Lonchura striata: one gene and its partner. The protein of the gene in region 1 purifies or fractionates together with the protein of each later gene. This does not show direct contact. Links are inferred from orthologs where the notes say so. Each region holds a gene or a part of one and is shown on either strand. Other genes may lie near its edges.

The links.
Region 2: the proteins of RARA (region 1) and KLF5 purify together in Homo sapiens (affinity purification with western blotting; 4 studies listed by BioGRID). This does not show direct contact. The link is inferred for Lonchura striata from reciprocal best matches to the Homo sapiens genes RARA and KLF5.

What each region holds. Positions count from the first base shown.
Region 1 is NC_134627.1:6,947,036-6,957,002, forward strand, and holds the start of RARA (retinoic acid receptor alpha), read right to left. Parts: upstream 3,716-9,967; 5' UTR 3,591-3,715; intron 1-3,590. Other genes in the region: CDC6 (cell division control protein 6 homolog), read right to left, coding at 7,679-7,768, 7,898-8,038, 8,139-8,338, 8,488-8,552, 8,691-8,791, 8,877-9,016, 9,112-9,218, 9,355-9,518 and 1 more. UniProt on the Homo sapiens protein: Receptor for retinoic acid. Retinoic acid receptors bind as heterodimers to their target response elements in response to their ligands, all-trans or 9-cis retinoic acid, and regulate gene expression in various biological processes.
Region 2 is NC_134604.1:50,474,198-50,484,350, reverse strand, and holds the start of KLF5 (Krueppel-like factor 5), read left to right. Parts: upstream 1-5,770; 5' UTR 5,771-5,901; coding exon 5,902-6,117; intron 6,118-7,988; coding exon 7,989-8,859; intron 8,860-9,974; coding exon 9,975-10,034; intron 10,035-10,153. UniProt on the Homo sapiens protein: Transcription factor that binds to GC box promoter elements. Activates the transcription of these genes.

The DNA of each region.
Region 1 (9,967 bases):
GGCAGCCTCCGGGCAGGGCAGGAAGTGCCTGCGGAGCCACTGCGGTTGCAGCCTGCGGTTTCCTCGCTGGCAGCAGAACCAGCCCGGGGTAGCCTCGCACGCGAGGCCAAAGGCCTGGCTGCCCCCGTTGCCCCCCGGCCACCAACCAGCCCCTCCAGGCTGCCAAGGGCAAGGCAGCGTAGTGAAGAAGTGGTGAGGTGCCCCCCTGACAGGGCTGCTGAGAGAGACCCTCTCCCGGATCCCCGGAGCTCCCCACGGTGAGTCACCGTCACGTTTCTCACGTCCCCGGGCAGGCGTGAATCATGCCCAGCCTGCGGCACGGCCGGAGCCAGCGGCACACTCGGCCAGCGTGCGCCGGAGTTGAGGCTGCTGGGAACAGGAATCTGAGGATGCTGAGACCAGAGCAGACCCCAGCACTACATCCAACTCCCACGGCCAGCAGCTGACCCAAGGGCTTGCACAGCCCCGCTGCACGTCCCTGGGCAGCACTGGTGTTCCAGCATCCCAACAATTGCAAGATACAACCACCGCTCCCCCAGCACAGACACAGGGCCAGGGACACCACACTGACCCACAGGGATGCTGTCTGTGCCGGCAGGATGGTCTCCCCAACCCATGGAGGCACACTAGGGAGTCACCACTGGCCCTGTAGTGCGGGTCCTCACCCCAGCACCCCACATCTCGCTGCTGCCAGGAGCCACAAACTGAAATTCCACCTGTTGCAGCCGGGCCGACTCCGGTTACGCCGGGAACGCGCCGCTCCGGTTACACCTCCCGCACCCACCACCAGACGTGCCATTCTTTAGCAAGAACAGGTGCCCCAGCCCCCGCCACGGCCCCTGGGGTGGCCACAGCTGTGCCACACCACCACTGCCACCACTCCGGCCTGGCTGCGGCTTGGATGCCTCGAGAGGAGCAGGCCAGTCCCAAAGGTCCAGTGGTATCCCAGCCAGCATGACCCACCAGCCCCTCACACCATGGGCTGCCCCCACAGCACCCTGGGGACACACACCCACACCCAGCACTGCCTGCCCACAGAGGGGACATCCCCAGGTACAGCCCAAAGCCCACCCTGTATCCCAACCCTCAGGATGAAAGCAGCAAACCGCACGCCCAGGGCTCACGGTCCTGGAGTGCCCCATGCCGGGGGTCCCGGTGTGCCCCATCCCAGCCCCCCAGGGGCTCCCGGGAAGCAGGGGGACGGTGCCCCAGCAGCCACTCGCGGCAGTCCTGGTTGTTTTTAGCCGAGGCTGCGGCGGCAGCCGGCGCCCTGGGAATGGCGTGCCGGGAACAGCGCGGCCCCAGACAGCCCTCGCTGGCTCGGCGACAGCCGGCAGACAAGTGCAGCTGGCACGGGGCCGCTCGGGACACAGCGCGGGGGGACCCGGCAGGCTGGCGGCTGCGCGACACCCCCGGACACCGGGATTTGGTGGCACCGTGCCCCCAGCTTAGGCAGGCTCCCAGGAGCAGACACCTGATGTACCTGGGGGGGCCAAACCGCTCCATGCCACCACCAGCACCACCGCGACCCACCGCGTCGCGCCCGGGCTGGCAGGCAGGCAGCCGTGTGCCATGTCCCCTGTCACTGCCGGGCAGCCGGGGCTCAGAGGGGACAGCGGAGGCCACGGCGGGCGCACGCGGCCCCTCGCCGGGCCCTGCCACGAGCCACCCCCCGCTAAGCCGCCTCCAGCCGCAGGGAGATTAACCCATTTTCCGTAATCAGCACATGTGTCACCGCAGATATGATCGCACCCCCCGCGCTCGCTGCGCTCCCCCCGGGGCTGGCGCTGCCAGGGGGCCCTGCGGCACAGGGGTGCCCCACGGCACGGGGCACCTTGAGGCTCCAGGCACGCACTGCAGAGCACTCACAGTTCCTCCAGCCCTGACGTGCTGCAGCAGCGCCCCAAAAAGGGCCGGGGGACCCCAGAGGCCAGCCATCCTCTTCATGGCAGCACTGGCATCGGCGCTGGATTTTGCCAAGACAGTGGCTCAGGGCACGGCGGCTCAGGGCACGCGCGGCCAAATGTGGCACGTTGTCACACCAGAACCTCCTGGATATAAATAGATCCAGAGCGGCGGGATGGTGAATCCCAGCGCCGCAGGGCAGGCGGTGGCGGTGGCACAGCCGTCCCCAGGCTCTGTGGCAGCGACGCTGCTCCTGCCACAGGGACCGAGCGCGGGGACACGGAGGATGTGTGAGGACAGCTGGGTGAAGCCAGGTGTCCCTGTGGGATGGAGCAGCCACACCAGGCGGCTCCGGATGAGGCGCAGGGCACTGCCCTGCTCCTGTCATCCCACTGTCGGTGGCTGTGTCACCGTGTCACCTAGGGGGGCTGCAAGCAACGGGGAAAAAGGGGCCAGACACCCATCAGGACACCCGCGGGCATCCCTGGTGCGAGCACCCACGGGAGCAGGCGCTCCCTCGAGCCGCAGCAAGGTCACCCCCAAGGGCAGGGTGGGGGCCCACGGGTGACATATGGCCCGGGAGCAGTGGCCGCGGGGCCGCTAAGCCACCGAGCCGTCACCCGTTAATCCCGGTGCGAGGACGCGGCGGGTGCCGCACCCGGGGCCACCGGCCGGTGCCTGCCCGGTTCCCCGAGCGGAGGGACCGGCTGGGGGAACCCCCGTGTCCCCCCCAGCACCCGCCGCGCCGCGGGGCGGCCCCTGCCACCAACGAGGTCAAAGGTCAGAGGCACAGATTTGGGGGACAGAGGCACGGATTTGTCTCCGCACCGCCCTGCCCCGGCCCGGGGCGCTGCTCCCCGCCCCCGAGGGGGGTCCCCGCTCTGTCGGGGTTGAGTACCCGGGGGACTGCACCCCCAAATCCCCCACCCCGCCCCGAGCCCGCGGGGGCTCCGCCGCCCGCAGCCCGGCCCCGGGCAGCTGCTGCGGGAGGGAGGCGGCGGCCGGCGGTCCCTTCCCCGGCCCCGCCGCCCCCCGCCCGGCTCCCCCGGGCCCCCCCGCCCGCCGCCGCCCTGTCAGCCGCGCAGAGCGATGGCTTCCTCCGCCCGCCGGCCAGGAAACGGCGCAGACGCCGCTCCCGCCCCCCGGCCCCCGGCGCCCCCCGCGCTCCCGGCCCCGCTCCCCCGCCGGGCCCCGGCCCCGCCGCACCCCGAAAGGGGAAGCGGCCCCGGCCCCCCCCCGCCGCGGGAGGATGGGGGGGGATGTGGCTGCGCGCACCGGCGGCCCCGGAGAGCCCGGTAATCCCGGGGTGGTCTCCCCAGCACCGCGCTCTGCGGCGGTGCTCCGGTCCCCGGTGGGGTGTAGAGGCTAGCGGAGCCGCCCCGGAGCCCGCCCCGGAGTGGGGGCGCAGCGCTGCCGCCCGGGAGCGCCCAGGCAGTCGGTACCGGGAAAGGGAACTCCGGCACCCCCAAGCCCAGTGTAAGAGGCAGAGGCCAAAGCCGCGATCTCGAACCCGCTGCGGCTCCGGTGCTCCCGGCAGCCGCAGCCCGGCGGAGTCCCTCCCCCGCTGCGGGAACCCCGGGATCACCCGTTACCGGAGGGGGATCCCCAGAGGCGGTACCGGAGCCGCATCAAGACCCTCCTTCCCAACCCCGCTCCCACGGGCAGATCCAGAGCCCCCTCATTACCTGCTCGCGGAGACTCCAACACCGAAATCCTTAAACCCGGGGAGTTCCCGGTGGTGGCTGCATGGCGGCGGCACCGGGAAGGAGCTGGGGGGGAAGGGGGGGCTTCGCCCCGGCTTAGAGGGGTGAGGGAGGGGTGGGGTGGGGGTTCCCGGGGGGGTTCACCGAGCGGCGGCCGCGGCCATTGCGAGTCATGTGCTCGCGGGGAAACTTTACCCGGGGCTGGGCCGGGCGGGGCAGCGGCGGCGGCGGCGGCGGCGGCGGCGGCGGAGGGCGGGGGGAGCGGGAGGAGGACACGCCCCTCCCCGTGGCCACGCCCCCGCCCCGGCCCAGCGGCCAATGGGGCGCGGGCGGGGGCGGGGCGGGGGCGGGGCCGGCGCCGCTCAGTGACTCTTTGAAGTCTCCAGAAAGCGGAAGGGGAGAAAGTGGGTGCGCGCGCCGCGCCGGCCGGGGGGGGGGCTCTTAAAGGGGCCGCGCACCGCGACTTCGATGCCACTCTTACCCTTCTTCTCCGCCCCCGACCCACCACACCACTCACAGGAGGAGGTGCTCCAACGACCCCCACCCACCCCCACCCCCAGCCCGCTTCCCTCTTCTCTGCCTCTGGATACCCAACCCCCCCCTCCAGGTGGGGGATTGGGGCGCCCACATGAGGGAAAACACAGGGGTGGGTGCTCCAGGGGTGTAGGGAAGAGATGGGAACACATTGAGGGGAAGAGGGGAGAGGGATAGGGAGTTCCTGGGTTGCCCCCCCAGGCTCAGAGGGGAAGAGCTGGGGGCACCTGTGGCACCCCGGGGGTATAGAGTGGTGCCTGTACCCAGAGGAATTCCCTGTTCTGTCTGTCCCTGGAGAGATGCTGATTCTAGGAAGGGGATGGCGATGGAGATACGGACATGGACACAGGCTACCCAGCCACATTCTGGCAGCCCAGAAAGGGCACCCAATGCCCTGCACCCACCAGCACAGCCCAGACCCTGGGAGGGCTGGGAGGGCAGCGGGGCAGGAGCTCCCCTGCGAAGGCACACATGTGAGGAGTGTAGGCAGCTTCACCACAAGCCCCGGGGGGAGTCACACTAGCCCTGCCGCCGCTGCCCAGAGCCCTGGGATACCTGTCAGGATCCCACGGTACCCACACAGGAGGGTGATGGCCCGCCAGGCCACTCAGCACATTCCCGTGCCTCAGTTTCCCCCGTGTGCTCACCAGAACGATGTTGTACACCCCGGCCGGGGCACCCCCAGCCGGGAGCAGCCGCTGGGCCCCTCCCCGCACACCGGGGCCGCGGCGGCGAGGCCCAGGCGCCGGCATGTGCTCAGCCCAGTGGAATGTGCCAAATCACTCCCAGATGTGCACGGCGGCCAGCCCGACCCCCCCCCACCCCACTCCGCTCCCACCGGGGCAGCCACCGGCCACCGGGGACCCCCGAGCGCAGCCCCGCGGCACCGAGCCCACCGCCGGCCGCGGGGCCCGGCCCCGTCCGTGCCGCGGCGTCGCGGCCCCGAGGCGCGGCGGGGCGGGCAGGGCAGCGGCGGGAGGCGCCGCCGGCACCGGGTGGCCGCGTCCCCGGTGCCACCGGCGCCCCGCAGACCGCGGGCGGCGCGGGGTCGTGCGGGGCCGTGCCCCGCAGCCCCGGCCCCGGTGCCAGGCGGGAGCAGCCGGGCGGAACGGGGCTGTCAGATGGAATCTGGGCGCCGGCGGTGACGGCGCGGCGGGAGGCGGCCGTGCCCGCCACGTGGCCGCTTATGTAAGGAGAGTGCAAGGGAGGACAGCGAGGCAGCCGGGGCACCGGGGACACCGAGCCCCCGCCGCGCACCCGGGCGGCTGCGCGGCCGGACACGCGTGGGGCTGCCCACGGCGCAGCTGTGTGTGTGCGGGGACAGGGGACGCGGGCATAGGTGTGCTGGAGCCGGGGGACAGGGCTCCCCACACCGCTGCTGGGTGTCCCGGGCTGTCCCCTCGCCACGCTGCTCCCAGCCCCGCCGTGACGAACGGCTCCGGCGGGAGCTCCGGCACCCACGCGCCGGGATCCAGCTGCGCCATCGATTTTTCATCCACTGCGGCACAGTGGAGCTGGGGCTGGCACCGGCATGGCCAAGGTGGGGCTGTCCCCATCCCCACGCACGCAGCCAGGACACCCCAGGGATGCTGTCTGGACTGGCAGCCCCCCAGCCTTGCCGTGGGGTGCCCACCATGGCCAGTCTGGCCCAGAGGTGGGAGTGTCCCTGTGCCCTGCCTGGGCCACCATCACCTCAGCCATCACCACGGGGGGACACGGGGGGCCGGGGATAGAGCAGCTGGGGTGACAGAGGGAAAAGGATGAGGGAGAAGGAGAGGGAGAAGGATGAGAGAGAAGGGTGAGGGAGAAGGATGAGGGAGAAGGATGAGGGAAAAGGAGAGGGAGAAGGATGAGGGAGAAGGATGAGAGAAGGATGAGGGAGAAGGATGCCAGCCTGCACCACCACTGCGTCACCGCAGACCCGCACACTGCCAGGCGCTTCCTTCCTGACACTGTCACCCTGTGCCATCTCACCGTGTGCTGGGGGGCCACGTCACTCCCTGGGGCTGGCACGGGGCAGGACGTGGCCGCCGAGGTCCGTGGGGAGCTGGGCACCCCCATGCAGCTCTGCCCACGGGCAGGACGATGCCGGTACCCGCTCAGCCCCAGAGCCTGGCGACGGGCGGCAGGGTCATGGTGCCCGCTGAGCCCCACGGTGTGAGGAGGGGCAGGGACAGGGTGCTGCAGGGCCCCTGAGGTGGTGAGGGCACCGGGACACGGCCCCGAGCGGGCACAGCCCGGGCTGACCCCGGCGCCCGCCCGTGCCGCCGCACACGTCCGACACATGGCAGCGCCGGCTATAAATAGAGCCGGCAGCGAGGGCTGAGCCTGCTCGGGGCCCTCGGGGCTCCAGAGTCCCCCGTGCTCCCCCTGCCTCGGTTTCCCTGCCGCTCCCCACGGCCAACAGGGACCAACGTGTCCCCAAGGTGTCCCCTGGCCCTGCACCCCATTCCTGGCAGCACCCAGGGCCCGCACCAGGCTCCCCTCTGTGTCCTTGTCCCGGGCAGGCAGCGCAAATGTCCCCGTGTCCTGTGAGCTGCAGGGATGCCACAGGCCCCAGAGCTGAGGGGCAGAGCTGAGGTGGAGCTGGAACACAGCAGGGCCACCCCTTGGGGCCACAGGGAAACTGAGGCACATTGGGGATACCAGCACCCCATCCCTGGCCAGGAGCTGCAGAGGGGCAGCCGGGGGTTCTGGGGGACAGGGTGGGATGGTAGAGGCAGGGTGGGATAGAGGGATGTGAGGCACAAGCAGAGCCTCATGCCCTCCCACTCCCCTCACCCCCATTTGGAGCCCCCAACACCCCCCCCCCACAATGAGGAAGCTGCAAAATTAGGTCAAAGCGTCCATTATTTAACAGAAACACAGGAGCTGGGGCCAGGAGCTGAGCCTGGGGCTGGAGCCCAGGAGAGGGCTTGGGGAGGACAAGGCTGGGTCCGCACAGCTGTGGGGCAGGCAGGGATTGGGGAAAAAGGGGTGAAACACGGGGGACAGGAGCCAGAGCTGAACCAAAATGACTTTATTTCACAGCAGGAGATAAAGGGATGCCCCTGTCCTCTCCCCCCAGGGGTCCCTGCCCCTGCTGTGCCACTGGCAGCACCGGGACCCAGAGCAGGGCTGGCACTGGGAGGAGCCAGAGTGCTCAAGAGGTTCCAGAGAGCCCCAGAAGGCTCTGAAAGAGCTGGGAGCAAACATGGTCTGGGATTCAGGGCAGGAGCAACACCAGACCTCAGGATCACACCAGGGTGGCAAGGGGGACCAGGAGCACTCACCACTCCCTGCTAAAGGGCTGGGTGGGGGGGGCATATAGGGGCTGGGGGGTGTCCCAGCCTCCCACCTAAGCTCCCAGCACGCAGAAATTACAATATAACATTAATAATATTATAACATTAAAATATTAATAAAAAGACCCCAGACTGACAGGCCCAGGGCCCAACTTTACAAACATCCCAACACTTTGGGAACCACTTCTCTGCTCTTGCCACAGCAGCAAAATCCCCCTTGGGGCCATGGGGAGGGGTCTGCTGTGGGGGGGGTCAGTGCAGCCCCTGGGCCAGGATGCTGCCCACCAGGGCTGTGTCCTGCAGCTTGTGCTCCAGCGCTGCCTCCTCCAGCATCAGGGAAACCTGGGAGGGAGAACGGGGGTGCTCAGCACTGTGCTGCCAGATCCTGCCCCAGTCCCACCACTGGATCATGTCCCAGTGCTGTCACCAGACCCTGAGGCCACCAGAGCCTGCCCCACCACCCCATGGTACCTTGGCCAGCCGGGCCTCCTTGGCCCTCTTGACCTCGAGGACACCGCGGGACTCCAGGAGGGTGACAAGGGACAGACACTCGGCCTGGTCGACGGCGGGGAGCTGCTGCCGCCGGCACACCTGGCTGTAGGTGTCGTGGAGCTGGGGAGGGCAGGGGTGGTGGGGGGGTTACACCACAGCAAAGCACCCAAGAGACACCCCAGGGACACCCACCCACCGAGAGGGTCCCACCACCACTCACCTTCCCCAGGGTCACCTCGCGGGTGTGCGAGTGCCGGGCGAGCAGGAGCAGGGAGCAGAGCAGCACCTTCTGCTGCAGAGGGAAAGTGTCCTGGGCCCCCCGGGATCCCCCCGCCAGCCGGTCCCCAAACACCTCTGAGAGCACCCGGGAGACGTGCAGGAGCCCCACGCGCTTGGGGACAGGGGATGCCGGGGAGTCACCTGTGGGACAGAGAGAGGTGAGAAAAGGGAGGTGGTAGTGGAGAGAGGAGCCGCACGAAGGGAGCCCAGACTCCCTCCCACTGAGGCGACCCCAGAGGAGCCCCTGCAGCACAGGCTGCAGGGTTTTGGCTCTGGCAGCACTGACTCACCTCCAGGCAGTGGCTTGAGCAGCGTCTGGCCTCGCACCTCCAGCTCCACCACCTCCACGGCGCGCCTGGGGAGGGACAGCCCTGAGCGCCGGGCAGAGCGGGCACCCCTGGCATGGGCACCCCTGGCACGGGTACCCTGGAGCAGGGAAGCCATGGAGACTCACAGGGACCAAGCTGCCCCAGGTTCTGGGGCACACACTGACCTACAGACATCCAGGGCCTTGCGAGCATCACCGGAGACCGCAGAGACCTTGCGGGCACAGAACTGGAGCGCAGCAGAGTCCAGGACGGGGTCACCTGCCACCTGTGGGGCACCAGGGCTATCAGTGCAGCCACCCATGCGAGCAGAGGAGCCACGTCCCCCCGCTCTGCCATCCCCGTGTCCCCACCTGCCCCAGCCGCTCCTGCAGGATGCGGGTGAGCTGCTCCTTGGTGTAGGGTGGGAAGTGCAGCAGCCGGGGGCTGCCGGCTGGGTGGGCTCCCAGCCTGGCCAGGCTCCGGTCTGTCAGGTCCAGGGCATTGGCCAACCCTGCAGGGTGAGAGGAAGAGGGTGGGGGCTGCAAAGGGAAGTCCCCATCAACCCCCTCCAAAGAGGAGCAGCAGTGCTACACCCCACACACTCACCCACGAGGACGAGCCTGGAGCCGGGCAGCTGGGGCCACTCAAAGAGGGTGTAGAGCACGTCCTGGCCTTTGCTCTCCAGCTGGTCCAGCTCATCCAGCACCAGGAGGCTGTGGGAGAGCCCAGATCAACCCCCTGTTCTGTCCCCTCACAGCACTTCAAGCAGGGAGAGCAGAGCTGCTGCCAGCCTGCCTCTCCTGGCATCCAGGGGAATCCCACTGCATCCGCCCCAGACGGGGAACTCACACCATGGGCCCCTTGGCCGTCAGATGCTTCTCCAGGCTCCGGATACACTCCCGGCCGGTGGCCACGGGCAGCCCCAGGTGCTGTGCCAGGGCAGGGAAGACACTCTGGGGGCTGCCCAGTGCCATGCAGTTCAGCACCACAGTCCTGCTGCCAGCCAGCTTGTCCTGCCAGGAATGGGAATGTTACACTGGCCCCATCCCACTGTCCCCCAGCCCCCACAGCAGCCCCACGCCTGTGGCCGTGGCACAGACCTTGCAGTCGAGCAGAACACGGCTCAGACAGACTGTTTTCCCAGTCCCGGGGGCTCCGGACACGTAGAGGCTGCCGGGACGGCGCCCCAGGACGTGATCCTGCAGGAACTGCCGGAGGATCGTCGTCTCCCGCTCCCTGCCCTGGAGCTGCTCGGGCACGGCTGCATGCAGCACCTGCTTGGCCTGCTGGTAACAGGTACCTGCATGGGGAGCAAGAGGACTCAGGGAGGGAGGTGGCACTGCTGGGACTCCATCCCAACTGATCATCATCCCATCCATGTCTCTGTCCCCATCCCTACCTTCATATATATCCCTAGCTCCATATACCCATCCCTAACCCTGGCTCCATCCCTCACCTCATC
Region 2 (10,153 bases), on another chromosome or scaffold:
GTTTGTTCTTTTAAGCAGGCAGTCTCCTCATTGGACAGGGGAGGTGGAAGTACAGAAGGGTGATGGCTCCCACTAAACTTCCAAGTAACGGGCAAACCACCTTGCCAAAAACCATGAATGTTATTTTTGAAGTACATTAGCATTTTAATTAATCTTATCTCATTACCTCACATGTACAGATTTCCATCTGCTCTAATAGTACATAAATAATTAAAGGACATGCTGAAGGAGCATGTCATTGTCATTTCTGGCCCTTCTGTGCAACAAGTCAGAGCTGAGCAGCTGTAGGACAATGGATGAAAATACAGGAAAGACTCACCTCCTAAAGCTGAGTCAGTGACCTGTTGTTCTCAAAAAGACCTGTTGTTATAAACAGCCTCTAGTTCAGACATATGCTGAACACACAGAGGTCAAAACAAAAAATGGTAGCAATAAATTATTTTTCTGTATTTTTTCTCGTCAGATGGGCTGAAAATATTTGAACTGTACCTGAAACCTAAGTAATATGAGGCTGTTTACCTGAAGTTAAGGCTTATTAAAATCCAACAAAAGATTGGGTTCAGCTACTGAGTAAGATGTCTTGTTCCCTCCAGACAGGTTGATGATTCTTAATCCAAGAATTCAAGTAATGAGCAGTTGAAGTTTCCATCTTGAAACATCTGTTCCGCCAAGTCAGCACTGGCCTTGATAAATAGCAAATCAGACTGATGCATGCAAGTGTATACACACATGCTCAAGTTAAACTTGAGGGAAAATACTTGAACAGACCTCTTCATAGACAGATTTATATAATTAATCGGTAATTAGTCTTTGTACAATGCAGACTGACTCAGGTCAAAACACAGAAAATGCAGACAAGGTAGGATCTTTACCTGTTGCTGCAAAAAGTTTTTTCAAAGGTTGTTTGTGGGTAAGTTTACATACCTTTATTTAGTTGTCACAAACCTTCACTGCTATTTTAACTTACTCATCTTACAGTGGAAGAAAAATATGTTTAGCTAAAGGATAAAAACAAACCACAAGTACAACTGCATCTGCATGCTTTTAGTAATCTCAGCAAACTTTAAACAACTTTGGAAGTTTGCTTAATTTTTAACTGTGCAAAATAAAACCTTACATACACCTCTCATTTTATGAAGTCTGTACCAAGTTTTGCAATGGTGACTCTCCCTCAGCTTGTAGAGTAAAGGAATAATTTCTTTTTGCAGGTTTGTTATAGTCTTATATCCTAAAAAAAATGTCAAGTCCAGTTCTGGAGTCGCTCTGTTGAGAAGGTTTCTACCTGATGTGATGTGCCAATTCAAATCCATCAACAAAAATGCCAAGCTAGTTCAGGAAGGTACACACTTCACTCCCAGCAGAGCAGCAAAGAAAGCCTGAGGAACTCCACTGGAAATGGGAAGGTTTGACACAACTGTCCTCTAGAGTATACAGGGAGGTTGGCAAAATGAAATCGCACTTTCTGTGCATCCTTCAAAATAAACCTTTGTCCGAAGGGAACTAGAGGTATTTTCCTGATTATAAGGCTTTGCATGCTAGAGCAGGGGTGGAACGAGATGATTGCTGAAATGTCAAGAGGGGAAAGAAGTCAAGATGAAATGTGTTTTTACTCAAATGCCAGGCTGAAATAATTAGGGAGTGCCATTTGTTATTTCAGCAGGAATATCCTTCTCTCCATATGGTCTATCACAGTATTTGTGGTACAGTGAAATGAAGAACAGGAACTGGGCTTTCCTTTCATAAGCAAAGGGAGCACCTCTGTTAGTGAATCTTGAAACAGCAAGAGATAAAGGTACACAGGAATAGACTGTCATTTCATGATTTCCCACATTCGCTTGAACAGAAAGTCACCCTGCTACATTCCTTGGTGTGGTGGTGCTGGATTATATAGCGCGAGTGGCATTCACAAAGCCTGTCATGAGTTAAGATGGCACATCGTAGCTGGTGCAATCCTGTCTGCAGAGGAAAGTTAACACGAGAAAAATGATGACTTTCTTAAAAGGTTGTGTTGGCTCTTTTGCAAGCTAGAAGTAAAAAGAGAAACCATCTCTTCCTTTGGGAAGATGAAGTCTAATGAGTGGGCAAAAGTACAAAGTACAGACAGCTACTATTTTGCAAGAAGAAAGTTCATGCTCACTTTTCTAGTAAATTTACATGAAAAAAATGAGGTGGGTATTTGCTCAATCAGAACAGGCCTCTCAATGTGTTAAAAGCTCCTGAAATTATAATCAGACATCTTCCTGTGGCTTTCAAGCCTGTCTTAGTTCAGCTGAAGTCCTTGGTTTTCCCTCACCTCACCATTATGCAACTACTTGTCCATGTCTTTCCAGTCCTTCCCTATGCCTCCAAACAACACGTGTAGGTCCCTGTAACTGTGGCCCTACTCCTCCCAGCAGGACAATGGGACACAAGTGCCTTTCCTAAGAGATATGTCTTATGGAGCGATGAGTTAGGAAAGCAGAGAGTCTGTCTCCATCCTGGCCCCGCTGCTGAACTCCTTTGCTCCCAACCCCACTCCCACAAGGCAGTGCTCTGCTTCTCCACTGCCAAGCTCCCAACTGCCTGGGACTTGACATTTGTTCTTGTTTTCTCCTGTCTCCCCTAATGGGCATAGCACTACTAAGCGAATAGGAATGTACAGAACAAGAGAGTTCAAAGTAATTGAGTCTACATTCATTCAGAAAGCCTGGATCCTTGCCCGCTCAGAACCTGCAGCATCGACATAGTTTCAGAAAGTTTAACCCTTTTCCCCTGAACTCGGTAATGCTGTTTTGAGTGCAAAGTGTTGTACTTCTCTTGCCACTGACCGTGGATACCGAAAAGTGTTGTTCACATACCCAGCTAAGTGTCTTTCACATACCTAGCTCTAGGTGTTAACCAGTCAATGCTTTATTCCTCCTTTTTTTCACTCTGCAGGACAATAACTAAAGACCTTGAGACCTTGAACTGTCATTTTCAGAAGATGCCTGGGGACTTGTGTTGCAGAGGAATGATCACTTAGCAAAACTACTAAACATATCTGCCTGTAGTCTTACTTAAATAAACGGGGCTGTGCTGGGTTGAAAACAGCTTACTGTGTTTTCTGCGGCAAATTCATCTGTTAAGGTGTAAACTCACTTCTACCTCAGTCTGCAAAATCAGTGAAGAATTAGAAATGTTCCAAAATTATTATAGCTGTAAACTCCTTTTTTTCATTGTGATTATGAATTATTTTATTATGTTTATTATGATTTTTTTCATTATGATTCATTCTGAACAAATTCTCATTTCAATTTAATTTAGGAGATTACATTATTTGGCAGCTTAGTATTGATTTTAAATTTGTAAATAAAAATTATTTGTTCCAAGAAGTGTAACATCTAGTAACAATGCTAATTCTTGAAATGGCCTATCAAATAATTTTTCTCTCTGGATCTAAAAGTGCATTTAGACTATCTGTAAACTAAATAATGCAGCAATATGTAGGTCAGATAAGCAGTGAATCTGAGCAGGAAAAAGAGTCTATTGGAGTTTCCTGTTCAATTTTTAGTTATAGTAGAAAAGTCAAAATAAAAAATTGCTCTTTAAAAATTGTCATCTTTAGTCATCTTTAGTCTTTAGTCATCTCCCACTGATTGTTGCTTGACAAAAAGACTGTAGGATGTAGACCATAAGTAGCACAAAAACATAGTGATGAGATTGGATTTATTTATCTGCAGTTCAGACCTAATTACATCCTTTCTAAAAAAAATAAAACACATTCAGAGATGCTTCTGAAAATGTTTATACACAGAGCTTTACTCTGTGATACCATTCTAATTAACCTGCCAAAGCTTTTGCCTGGATAGGCCCTTTATAAATGTATAAATATAAAACAAAGCAAAACAAACAAAGATAACCCAAACAAACAAACAAAAGTTTTTAAATTATCCGTTTATCATTCATTAAATCACATGGATACAAAACATGCAAATAAGGTATGCAAGTCTGAAAAACACTTCAGTTACTACAGCCAAAGGATTCGTTTAAATGTCTGAAAGTTACCAGAACATGCACAACATTGGACACTGCCTAATCCTATGTTGTGCCTCCTCTATAAGAATTAGTTTCTAGACAGCAAAGTATACTACTGCTAGTTTTTCAATTTTAGAGATGTTAGAGAGCAGTTTATGCTAACCTTGTCCTTTCAGATGGTCAAAAACATAGTTTGAAGTCTAACAGGGTTGAAATAAGGGACATGTGAGGTATTCAAAAAGCATAGTTTGAAGTTTAATCTTAAACTAGGGTTATGTGAAGGGCATTCACAAAAAAATAAGATATGATTTTAAAATCTGATGGTTAAAACACTTGTTCCTAGGCTTGAGCGGGGAAAGAAATGCCAGTCATGAGTCTTCAGTAAAGGACGCTGAAGTTGCATATTGCCTAAACGGGAATACGTGCTGGTGTCGGATGGAAATGAACCTGCACGGCTTCAAATGCTGCGCTGACGGGAGTAGCCGGATCTACGTTAGTAATAGCAAGCATCAAGAGGCTGCATATTGCTAAACAGACAGTTCGTGTAAAAAAATGTTATGCTGAGCTCTTCCCGGGTTCTGTAATTAGCTTTCTGCATGCAGGCTCTGAGACATCCTACTCGCTGTGGACTGGGCGGCAAAGGGGAGGAGTGCCAGGCTGACCAGGAAAAAAAGGATTTTTTCACGTTTTAAAAAAGAACTTTGTCTGTAAATTATAGGAGATAAATACGGGGAGGAGGAGGTTGCCAACATTTCTGTGGATTCTCAGACTCTCTCCCTGCAAACTAAAGCTGCAGAGCTGACAGGGCTGGGAGAAAGGTGGAAAGTTTGTGCTTTTTTCCAAAGCTCCACTACATGCTGTAGTTTTCCCATACGACGTGAGCCGGTCGGTGTTGCACGAAAGGACGGCGTCCCTCCTTTTTCTGCTTCAGCGAAACATGCGGCAGCTTAGCTCACCGTCCTGTGTCTACGGGGAAATATGCTTTGCGTCGAAACCACACCTCAAAACAAGTAAATAGAAACTTGCCTCATTTCTATGAGGGGAGGAGGGGGGAAAGAAAAGGTTCAGTCGTCGCTACCTCTTTTCCTCTACCCGTCTTCCTTGTCCTCTGCGCTATTTCTGTAAAATGCTGAAAAACTTCACTTTCACAGTGTGCGGGGGGGCGGGTGGATGTGTACTGCCGGGCTGATAATTATTAGCAGCAGGTTTCAAGTACGAGTTGCCTTCAGGACAAAAAATAATAAATCTGAACGACTGCCTTTAAAACCTTTCTGAAGATGAAAGGTAGGACAAGACAGTTGTTTTAAAGTGGCCACATTAGCAGTGCTACTTTACAAGACTATAAATAATAGTATAAGCACGAGAGAAACGTCGGCGGAGCGCCGCACTTGCTGAAAACCCGCTTCCACTCCAGGGCGAGCGCCGCGCCGGCCGCTCCTTTCCGGGGACTCTGCGCCGGGCAGCGCTCCCCGGCTGCTGGCCGGGCGGTACCGCCCTGCCGGGCCCGGCACCGGAGCCGGAGCCGGAGCCGGCACCGCTCCGCCATCGCCGCCGCGGCGGGGCAGGGCCGAAGCGGGCCGGGCCGGACCGGGCGGCGGGGAGGAGCCGCCCGCGCTCCCCATAGGCAGGGCGGGCGGCAGGGCCGGCCCCTCTCCGGGCTGGGTGCGGTATAGGGGGGGCCGGGGGTGGAGTAGGGTGAAATAGAGGCGGGCGTGTGTCACCGGGTAGATACCCACGGCCAGGTACAGGCGGAGGCACTGACGATACCGGAGTGGATGCGCTCCGGGCTGGTGCTCCTGGGGAGTGAGCGCACGAGCAGCCACCGCCCGCCCGCCCGGAGCCGCCCGCGGGTCACTCGCCCTGCGCCGGGGCGGGCAGCCCGTCCGCGCCGCGCTCGCCGCCAGCCTCATGGCCACCAGGGTGCTGACCATGACCGCCCGCCTGGGGCCCGTGCAGCAGCCCGACGAGCCGGTGTTCGCTCAGCTGAAGCCCGTGCTGGGGGCCCGGGAGGCAGCGATCTTCCCCGGAGAGGACCTGAAGCAGCAGCAGCCGCCGCCGCAGCAGCAGCAGCAGCAGCACCCGGGGGGCGGCGGCGCGAACCTGCCGGCGGAGGAGATGGTGCAGGTAGGCAGCGAGCACCGCTCACAGCCGCCGGTGGGCACTCGGTGCCCACGCAGCCCCCGGAGCCGCGCCTCGCCCCGCTCGGAGCGGCCGCTGCGGGGCGGGCGGGACTGGGTGGGGCCGGACTGCGGGGCGAGGGCGGCGGACGCCGAACTCCGCGGCTGTGGCGGCAGCGGCAGCGGCGGAGTGTGTGTGGTGTGTCTGTGCGGGGAGCGGCCACGCCGCCCATCCCGCCCGTGCGGAGCGGGAAGCGCTCCCGTGTTCCGCCGGCGGAGCGCGGCGAGGCGGCCGGGCCGCGGCGGGGCGCGGGCTCCGGGGGCAGCGGCCGGGCCGGCCCGGCGAGGCGGGGGGAGCCGGGCTGCCCCCGCCAGTGTGTTGAAAGCTACAGCTGCTGCCTTCGCACTTGCCCGGCGGCAGAATTAGAGCGGCCGCCTGTCCTCCTCGCCCACGCAAGGAGTCATGTTCGGGGGGCGGGGGGGGCAGAGCACACGACTCACTGGTAACGGGGGACTTCCCAGGACTTTGTGCCTGTCCCAGGAGGCTGTTTGGGAGCGGATCCGCAGGCAAACAGCTGGAGGAGCTAAAAGCGGGAAGGTGCGAACCGCAGCCGGGCTCCAGTCCGCGAACGGAGCCCGCTCCAGGGGCGGTTCCCGGCGCCCTGCGAGGCGCTGGCATTTCCCCGGTCGGCGGAGAGGCAGCCCCGGTGCCGGGCAGCGCTCTGTCGGGCGCTGTCTCTCGGTGGTGTCTTCCCTAACGAGTAAATAAGTCCCCGTCTTCAAAGCGAGTTGCCCTCGACTCGTAAACAAGAGCTGAAAAAAGTAGCCTGGCATGTCGGGGCAGATCCAGATCAAAGGGACGGGAAGGCGGCTGTGTTTGTTTGTGGTGTTTACCGGGGGTCTTTGAAGAAAGGTCCTAAAATCCACTTTCGGGCAGAGTTGCTGTTTGTCAGCTGCTTTCGCTTGCGGGGTGCTAAACGGGTCTGGTATGAGCACTCTCTTGACAGGGCAGGGGGGAATGTAGCATTTGCCCACTGAAGACGGCATGGTAAATGTTTTGCCGATGACTGTACGCCAGTAATGTATAGGGCTCCAGCCACCCACGGATTCCCTCGCACTACTGTGCTAAGAGGGTGATTTTCCAGTAATTAAAGAGCTCTTCGAGAACCGAGGCATGGATAGGGACATGTTTATCACGCTATTAATTAGACAATTATACACTGCATAGATTATTACTGGTTTAAGTGTAGTCCTGGAGACACTTTACACAAAGAGTACTCTGATGTAGTCAACCTGTCTCCTTCTTATTCAATATTATTAATAACTTTACACTTTGGTGTTGTATTTCTAATTAAATCCCGTTCTTCCAGGGATGAAGAATCATGGAAGTATGTTATCTATCTATCTATCTATAAATCTATAAACATTATTTGAAGTATTAGTATTCATATAGTCAGCTGAGGATGTGGCTTTTACAGTTAGCATTTCAAAGAGAAGCGGGTGAAACAGGCAGTCACCCTGCTCGAGCAGTGAATTCCAGAGCAGGAGATCTGAAGATTAGGCAGAGCGCCTGTCACTTCTGCGCCTTGCGTTGTGTTTTAGACATAAAGATGAAAAGTTTGTGTATGCTGAAACATCAGATCTGTCTTAATGTGTGAACACTTTATCTCCTTGTCCTTGATGATGTTGATCAGTGTGCTGATTGTAAAATCAAGCAGGTTTTCATTAGTGTGAGCATTCATAACTTCCTCTGTAGGTGTCTTGCGGCTGGGTGAACAGTATTGCCTTTTGTTTGTAAAGCCTCACATGACTTGGATGCCATCATCTTCCTTAGCTGGTAACAAATCATGTGGACTATGGTCTGTTTTGTCTTTGTAGACGAGATGTGAAATGGAGAAATACCTGGCACCTCAGCTCCCACCCATTCCTGTCATCCCTGAACATAAGAAATACAGAAGAGACAGTGCCTCGGTTGTAGACCAGTTTTTCACTGACAGCGAAGGGTTGCCTTACAGCATCAACATGAACGTGTTCCTGCCTGACATCAGCCACTTGAGAACTGGCTTGTACAAATCTCAGCGACCCTGCGTAACCCACATCAAGACAGAGCCATCTTCAGTCACCATCTTCAGTCACCAGAATGAAACTCCTGCCCCTGCTCCCACTCAGGCCCTCCCAGAATTTACCAGCATCTTCAGCTCCCACCAAACTCCTGACGTGAACAACATTTTCATCAAGCAGGAGCTTCCTACTCCAGATGTCCATCTTTCCATCACGCCCCAGCAAGGCCAGTTGTATCAGCTCTTGAGCTCACCGGATTTAGACATGCCCAGCACCACTCCTCAGGCAGCCGTGATGGACTCCCTTAACAATGTCTCCATGCCCTCAGCCATGGCGGGCCTTAACACGCTCTCCTCAGCTGTTCCACAGACTGCAATGAAACAGTTCCAGGGCATCCCCCCCTGTACCTACACCATGCCAAACCAGTTTCTGCAGCAGCAGGCCACTTACTTCCCCCCTTCACCCCCAAGCTCAGAGCCTGGAAGTCCAGACAGACAAGCAGAGATGCTGCAGAATTTAACCCCTCCTCCATCATATGCCGCAACTATAGCTTCCAAGCTGGCAATTCACAACCCAAATTTACCAGCAACTCTGCCCATAACCCCCCAGAACATCCAACCTGTTAGATACAACAGGAGAAGTAACCCAGATTTGGAGAAAAGACGTATCCACTACTGTGACTACCCAGGTAAGCAATCTGTGCCAGGAAATCCCAGCTCTTGCAATAAAAAAAAAAAAAAAAAAAAAAAAAAAAGCGTGAATAATAATGGATGAGGTATAAGTGGTTTTCTTTAGCTGTGGTCTACATCTAGGGAGAACCAAATAGTTCTTTGTCCAAGTAGAATTTATCTCTGTCGTCATTTTGAGTGGAAGGCTCTCACATTCATTAAATAATTGGTATTATTCATGTCATTTGTCATTCTCTTGAACTCATTTTACCCTGTTACAAAATAGAGATTCTGTAGAAAATAAAAAACAAAAAATTTTGGCCTTTGCTAGTGTAAATCGGTGTGACTGTCCAGTATTCATGATGGAGCAGAGGCTCAGTTTGTCCAGTGCAGTACAGCTCTGTTTGAATTTTCTGGCACTGCAAGAATAATTGCAGCTCCCGGTAGCCAAGGCCACAGCCATTCTTCCCTGTTACAAACAGGAGATTCAGCTGCCCTCATAAATCCATTAAAACCATCTCTGCAAATTGTCCACAGATGGATTGCCTTCTGCACTGGAGGGGAAGAGGGATCTGACTAAAGTGTGCCTCCATGTAGTATGTGATCCCAGATACAGGCTGTGCACACCCGTTGTAAGCGCAGAGAGAAACTGCTGCTCCCCCTTTACCAACTCGGGGTGCCATATCACCTATTCGGTGTGCCTTACAACAAATGCCAGTGAAAGAGTTGTGTTGAGCCCTGGGTGACAATGCCATAGAGTCTGGCTTGATCAGATCCTCTTGGAAATTTTTTAAAAATAATCAAAGAATCCCCCCCTGCTAAATTGTGGACTTACTTAGCAGGTGTTACTGTACATAGATTGTAGCAGCTATTGGCCTATATACTACATTACAAAGCAGTAAGTCGACCAGAAACATACATCTTTTCTGTGTCAAGCAACATATCTCTAGGAGCATTCTGTATAGAATTTTGCTTCTAAATGGCAAAAATTACGCCAGAAAGTAGTAAACTTATATGTGTCCAGCTATTTCCCAAGCACTGAATGAGGAAGTTTAAACATAGTGTGGAGTGTTTCTTTTCTCTCTACTGAAGCCTCTTTGCTCTTCTTGTTTTTTTGCCTTTTTTTTTTGTTTAGGCTGCACAAAAGTTTATACAAAGTCTTCTCACCTAAAAGCGCACCTGAGAACTCACACAGGTATGTACGCACTCGCTCTCTCGCTGTCTCTCGTTCGTCCGTGGCCAGCGCGTTTTCTGACAAAGCGAGCACGTTGGGTCTGCCAGCTTCTCCCTGTTTTCTCTAGAGTGGTGTGGACA